2 linked regions of the Rattus norvegicus genome follow. The main gene of each other region encodes a partner of the protein of the gene in region 2 in a complex. Links are inferred from orthologs where the notes say so. Each region holds a gene or a part of one and is shown on either strand. Other genes may lie near its edges.

Region 1 (3,011 bases), on a different chromosome or scaffold from region 2:
TGCTTTCAACTCTCAGATAGATTCTCACTGTGTAGCCCAGGCTGGCCGCAAACATTCGATCCTAGCCTAAGCTATAACTACAAAAACATGCACCTCAACATCTGGCTCTCATTCACTTTTTTCCTGCCTAGTTATAATTTAGTTTGTTTGTTGGTTGGTTGATGGGTTTTAAGTTAGAGCATTTCAGTTTTATAGAGTATAAATAGATTCAGATCCTGGAGTGGTTCTGGTATACATTGATTGACTATTAGATGAATGGGCAATCAGTCTCTTAGAAAGAAAAGCAAAAGGAAGCCATGTGTTCATAACGCCTTTATGCATTGCAGGATAGCAGGTAAGAATCCACATATGGAAATCAATGACAACAATTGGTTCGAGCTTGCCGACAGACGTGACCATCAGAATAACAGTCCACTGGAGGTATTGTAAATCTTACTTCCCTAAAGTGTGAGCCACCCACCAGCTTTCCATTGGTTCATTAACTGCTGATCTTTTGTTTAAAACATATCCTCACTGCCCAAGATGCCTCTTTGGGACTTGATAGAAAAATCCAACTGATATTTAACTTTAATGTCTTCTCAAAAAGATATTACTTCTTAACTTTAATCTTGTCTAAAAAATGATATCATTTCTTTGTTATATTACAGATGTTCAAGTGCTATAGCCTGGAGTGCCTCCAGTTGATCCCTTTATGATGGAGTTTGATGTGCTAGAGCACTCCCCTGTTTTGACTGAGTCTGTTTATTTAGTTAATTTAATTTTTAAACTTCTCTGTGAGCTGGTCTTACAGCAAAGAGAAGCAAGTCAGGCAAACTGGGATAAGTGTGATGGGAACATCCCGGGCAGTCTCATCCAGTGTCTGAGCCAGTGTCCACTTTCACTGTTATGACGGTCCACAACAATTCAATCTTACTGAAACTCTTCAGCGATATTCTGGATTGAATATTTAAGCTCCGCAGTTCTTACCAAGCTTCCTCGAGTTCTCAGAGGAGCCCACAGTGCAAAACATTAAGAATCACATGAAAAAGTAAAGTAGATTCCGTGTTTCCTTTGCAATCTTTCTCCTTAGTGTTCCAAAATGCTTGACATAGGACCCTCCTTACCAGCGTGCTCTGGCTGGCGGTCTTCACAAGAGTTGCATTCTGCTCAGAGCAAAACAGCTTGCTGTCTTCCCATGTTAGGTTACGCCTGAAGAACCCATAGCAACTGTCTCCATGGTATCTCCACTTTGTGGCGCAGGGGCTGCACTTGTGCTCTGAAGGTGAGACCGAGGATGGGGCTGTCAAAAATCTGGCCAAAGCTTTTCCCACCTGCAGCATTCCTGCTCCGGTGGGCCTCCCTCTAGTTACCGTGACAGATGTGTGCTGCACATCAGAGATGTTTCCAAGCCAGACTTACCAAAAGAGCTCTTAGTCTTAATTTCTGATTGTCTAATCAACTCCTGGCAGAATTTCTTGGCCAATTGTTGCAGAGTGGCTGAGAGATTTTCCTTTTCGGCCAGTAGATATTTTTGTTGTGTGACTGCTAGATGTAGAGATGAGATAAATTATACCTGGGTCTCAAGGTCAGAAAGATAATGGCAGGATTCTTGTGTGAACTTTCATGTCTATAAACCTGCCGGTAGCTAAAGAGTTCACCAGATACAAAAACTCAATGAATACTGAAAAAGGAAATTAAAAGGGCTGCGTAAAGAGCGTGGGAATCGACTGGCTATGAGAGTCCCGAGGTGAGAACACGTGACTGAGGCAGCTGTTTCAATATTTCCTGGACAGGTTTCTAAGCAGGCTTTATAGTGATGAGAAGCCTTGTGTTTTGTATTCTGTTCTAAATATAACACTGAATTTTCCTAAAAATGTATGTTTGGATGACTATTCTAACTATGTAGAACAGTGGTTCTGAACCTGTAGGTTGTAACCCATTGGGTCAAACAACCCTTTCACAGAGGTGGCATATCAGATATACTGCATATCAAATATTTACATTATCATTCATCACAGTAGCAAAATTACAGTTAGGAAGTAGCAATGAACATAATTTCATGGTTGGAGGTTACTATAGTTAAAGGGTCGAAGCATTAGGAAGGCTGAGAACCCCTTGGATAGAAATTCAGGTAGATACATACATAGACTTTGCAGTCTGATTAGCTTTGCTGCCTGGTTTCTTATTTCCAAGTTCCTTATGAAACATTTTAAATTAAGAAAAGTAATGTTACAATGTTTAAAATGCTTTCAGATCCATGTAAACAACATAAGGAATAAGGGACTCTAAAATGTATTTAAAGCAGGAAGATAAACAAATTAGCAACACAAATTATGACATGACCTTATAAAGTTTTATTATTAGAAAGTCATGATCAGAAAACCAATGTGTCAGTAAATAAAATGGGATGGAGTGGATTTTATATAGATAGACTAGAACAAGCAAGATTTCATATAGGAAGACACAGGCTTTATTTTTGAAATTAGGAAAATTCTAGATTGCTCAGGCCTCAGATTAAGCAAGGCAGAGAGGGAGAAAGATAGCTTGGATCCATAGTAAGGAGGAATCTTAAATGCCAGCAATACATTCTGAAAGTAATTTTAACTAAAGAAAAAAACTAAAGGTGATTTGAATAAGAGCAGGGGGAGGGGGAGGGGAGGTCTCTCCCTTCTGAGTTTTCACCCTATGAGGCTATGTCCACAGCAGTGTTCAGGACAATCAGAATAGGTGACAAACAGAGGAGCAAAAACATTTAGGAAGCTTAGTATAGTACACCAGGAACTCGTGGCTATTGTTTTCCTTGGATCAAAACCCTGGCAAGGAGCCAGTACTTACACATGATCCCCAGAGCCACGAGTCCAGCAACCAGCCCCATGGTTGAGATCAGCAGAATTAAAGCCGTCAAACGCCACCAAGAAGAGGCAGGCTCAGCTGTGGAAGGACAGAAAAGACGCAAGCAGAAGACTGTCAGGCTATCCTGGGCATCTCAGGATTATCTAAGTATCGTAAACACTACGGCAAGCTATGTGTGA
Region 2 (4,323 bases):
TAGGGAGTGTGTAATTTTTTTTTAATTCATGTTTGCAAGTGAACTCCATCTGCAGTATCAAGTTCAGTCATCTTTTTTTTTCCCCTTAAGGTCAATCATAGTAAAAGGCTTGACTTACTTTCTAAATCACGGTCCCAGCAGCTTCTGAGTTAAGAGGGTATAATTTACAGGAGTGGTAGGGATTAAATGAGGTAAGCTGTGACATTCCTAGAATGTGGTGGGGGATGGAAAGGCAAAGAGGTGGGGGTGTCCCGCCCACTAGTCGGGGCCATTCTCCCTCAAGACTTGGGTCTGTCCGTGTCCCAGTGCCAAGTCAATGGTGGGCTGTGTTTTGTCTTTCTTGTTGGTTGTGGCTACACTCAGCCCTCTGCTGCTCTACACACATTAGACGTTTCCCTCCCTCTGAACTTGGTTTGGGATCGTAAGCCCCAGCTCCCCCCACAGAAACTCAAACAGAACCAGCTTTATTCAAGGCCTCCTTGGCCACATAAGCTCTCAGCAGCTTGTGAGGATTCCAGGGCCCCCGAAACTGGCAAGAACTTCAGGGAAATCACAGGATGATTCCTTTGCCACGTGATTAATCCTGCTCTGACTGGTCCCGGAAAGAGCACACATGGGTTAGCGAGAGCACCGTGGGTTAGCGGCAAGCGGCAGCTTGTGGAATTGTATAAAAAGCAATGTCTAACGGGGAAGTCCTGGGGTACCGGCTCTGGATGAAAGTTCAGAGTGAGGGTGGGGCCGGGCAAGGGGGGAGGGCGATGCCAGATGAGAGGACACAGGCCTTGTTAAAGTCCACTTCGGAGGTTGCAAGGGGGGTTGGATTATAAGTCAGTATGGTGCACGACTGTAACAGAAGAATTAGCACGCCACAATCACCCCCCGACACAATCACCCCCGGTCTGGCTCCCCAGTAATAGCTTAACTCAATGGAGTTACTCATCCATATTCATTAGTCTCAGACAAAAACACTGCAGGCTCAACCTTGCAGCAGGGCAGCCTGCAAACAACTGGCCACATGGCCGTCCCTCTGGACATCCCGTTACCAAGCCTCTTTCTTCTGTTATGCAGTTTCTGGTATAACTGAGGGATGACGCCTTTCTAGACAAGACCAAATACCAGCTACATTTTAGGAGCACTCTACCCTGCCTTAGGAGGATGTTAGCCAGCCTCTGGCTTTCCTAGGATGTGGTTTGGGGTGGGTGCCTCCCCTCGATTTGCGCTGGTGAGTGAAAAGTCATGTTCTTAACGTGCACTGTCTCGCCACCGCGGAAATGGAACCGAAATACAGAACTGTATATATATCCTAGCGCGAGGAGAAGTTTCAAAGATAGGACTGCCGGGAATAGCCCCGAGCACCATTAAAGAATAGCTTCGTCTCTTTGAAGCAGACAACCCCACCCAATGCACTCTATATAATTTCCCTAACACTAGGTAGGTGTTGTCTGTGGAGAATTATAGAAGCCTAGGCTAGCTAGGCCCACCCATCTCACACAGACCGCTCCTTCGAAGACCGCTAGAGCCTTCAATCGGTATTTACTGAGCAAGTGCCACTGTCAGATGATGCTTTGGCCCCGGGATCGAGGTTAGAGCTTAGATTCCACCAGCGAAACACACACAACTTAAAACGTCCAGGCAAGAAATAAAAATAATGGGGACCGGTCCCAGATCCCAGCCATACATCACAGCAGACAGAGGAACGGAAGACAGAAGAGGAGGATCTGATGGTGGTCCCCACCATTCCGTTTCTTTCTAGTCAGGGTCTTAAAAGTCTGGGCCGGTTTCAAACCCCTCATGCCCCTTGAAAGGCTCCCATCACACAGTTGAGCATCACTATACTGGTTTTTATACTTGCTGGGGATGGAACAGGGGAGCGTCATGCGTGCAAAGTAAGGACTCGGCCAACTGAACTACATGCTCAAGCTCCACTGGTCTTTTATTAACACTAATTCAGCCTTTGAGTCCTTGGCCAAGTTCAATACATGCCCTTCAGTGCTCACAGCAACCCTCCAGGTTAGGGGGGTACATTCAGTGGCGTTCTAGCAGGCTGGACGCCCTGGGTTCCAGTGCAGGGGTTTGGGGAGGAAGAAAGAACGAGGCAGACAACAAGGGTGCTATAAAGGCAGCAGTGTGCGGTTCAAGCTGTGGTTCAATCTATTTCACCGCCCCTTCCAGCTACCACCCTAATTTGCGAAGACTCTTCAGGTCTGTCCCCAGTTAGGGTGTGACCCCGAGTTCTAACCTATGCTCTCCTGTCCCTAGTTTTCAGAGACACTAACCATTCCGCTAACGCACTGCTCTTTGGGCCAGTCCAGTCGCCCTTGGCGTCACCCTCCCATCCCGGACCATTAGACCCCCCCCCGGGGGGGGGTAAGGGCCATTCTGTACTCCTATCACCTGTGGATCCCGATTCTACTGCCACACCCACTGGGCTGTTCCCGGGGACTCTTCTAAGCCCCATCTAAGCTGCCCCACCGCTCTCCCCGGCACCTCCAGATCCCAGGCCCAAGCAACCCCCGCCTCCCTCCATCCCCATCAGCAAGTGCGGGGTTGCCAATCAGGCGTGGCGCTTACCTCCCTGCGCTGAGTCCCAGAACCAAACGCTCCCCAAAACCCAGAGCAACACTGGCGCGGTCCACATCTTGATCTCGTTGGAGCCTCAGCAGCTAGTGGTTTTTGTGGGTTGTGAAAAGATGAAAAAACAAAAAAACTTCGAAGCCACAGGCCCAGCCGAGAAGAGCTCTGGAGGAGGCTGGCAAGCGGTGAGCAAGAGTCCCAGCGACAGAGAGTGCCCGGGCTTTCAATGCGAGCGGAGGGAGCAAGCACAGCAAACTTGGCAACTGGCAACTTCTCAGCACAGTCGGCAATTTATGTCTCCAGTACGGGGGCGGGGGCGGGTGGGCGTCAGGTGGTCCCGGAGATCTAGGACCGCCCCCGAATTCTGTTTGGCCAGCATCACAAGATGACCTCAGGCCAGGTTTAAAGTTACAGGGCCTCAGCCACTGGGGGCCCAGCCCAGGCCAAAAAAAAAAAAAAAAAAAAAGCGTTTGACTTTGTTCCACTACAGGAGAAGGGGGGTAGGGGGGACAGATGCAATACACAGTTCTGTTTTACAATTTTTATTTATTTTTCTACTATCTTTACTATTCTGCTTTGAAGGGCAAGGCACACGACTTAGGTTTTCTTGTTACTGGGCAGAAGGGAGACTCACACAGTGGCCTGTGCGGCTGGTTTTATGGTTTTAGGACGACGCATTGGCTTTTTAATTTTTTTGTAAATATTGAATCTGATGGTTTAAGGAAAACAGCCGTTGTTTGTGTGAGTCTGAGGCGGCTCGCGTTAATTAACTGAGCCCTCATCCAGGGCACGTGGATGCATGGATGGTGGGGTGCCTGTCCTCCCACAGCTGGCCCCCAGTGCAGTACTTGGCTTTGTGAGGTACTTGTCTGGGTGGGGTGTTTGACCTTGAAGAGTTCTTGGCCCTAGCGACTTACACAGATTTGAAAGGCAGAGCACATGAGACCTCCTGATACTGGGACACTGTGGCTTCACCTGGAGACGGGAGCAGCTGTGTCACCTGACTAGCAGCCACTCACCTGGAACTAAGAGTTCAGCTCATCTATTTTAATCCTAGGGTTTAGCTGGTAATGCCCCGTCTCTTGGTTAAAAAAAAAAAAAAATCCTTCCTTGCTCTCAGGTAGTGGGTATAAGCAAGTGTTCCCTTCTAACCTGCTGGAACTTAAGAGCAGGGTTGGGGGTGGTCTCGGCTCCACTCCCAGATGCCATAAATTCCTTTCGACAAAAGCATCTGAAGATTCCCCCCCCCCCCAATTCCCCACTCCCAGAGAAGGCTTAGTCATCAAGCCTAGTGACTTGAGTTCTATGCTCTGAACCCACAATGGTGAAATGAGAGACCTGATTCCTGAATGTTGCCCTCTGACCAGACAGCTCACACATGTACACACACACACACAGACACACACAGACACACACACACAGACACACACACACACACAATGTAAAAAAAAAAAATAAGTTGGGGCTGGGGATTTAGCTCAGTGGTAGAGCGCTTACCTAGGAAGCGCAAGGCCCTGGGTTCGGTCCCCAGCTCCAAAAAAAAAAAAAAAAAAAGTTACAGAGAGCTTAACAATGAATGTTCCCTAAGAGTCCCCATGAAGATGCATGCATGTGTGCACTTGTGTGTGGGCACCCATGGCCTGGTTGGTGTGTGTGTGTGTGTGTGTGTGTGTGTGTGTGTGTGTGTGTGTGTGTGTGTGTGATTATCAGAGGACAGCTTTGTAGAGCCGGCTCTCTCCTACATTAACA

Evidence for each region. Proteins that work in one complex are often made in the same cells at the same time.
Region 1: the proteins of Pdpn (region 2) and Clec1b are in contact, whole or in part, in a crystal structure (PDB 3WSR), measured with the Homo sapiens proteins. The link is inferred for Rattus norvegicus from reciprocal best matches to the Homo sapiens genes PDPN and CLEC1B. Residues at the interface, in NP_006465.4 of Homo sapiens: Ala46, Glu47, Asp48, Asp49, Val50; in NP_001380271.1 of Homo sapiens: Arg107, Phe116, Arg118, Arg152, Thr153, His154, Leu155, Arg157.

The regions. Positions count from the first base shown.
Region 1 is NC_086022.1:164,537,092-164,540,102, reverse strand, and holds part of Clec1b (C-type lectin domain family 1 member B), read right to left. Parts: intron 2,911-3,011; coding exon 2,815-2,910; intron 1,525-2,814; coding exon 1,399-1,524; intron 1,256-1,398; coding exon 1,104-1,255; intron 1-1,103. UniProt on the Homo sapiens protein: C-type lectin-like receptor that functions as a platelet receptor for the lymphatic endothelial marker, PDPN.
Region 2 is NC_086023.1:160,916,085-160,920,407, forward strand, and holds the start of Pdpn (podoplanin precursor), read right to left. Parts: upstream 2,876-4,323; 5' UTR 2,639-2,875; coding exon 2,572-2,638; intron 1-2,571. UniProt on the Homo sapiens protein: Mediates effects on cell migration and adhesion through its different partners.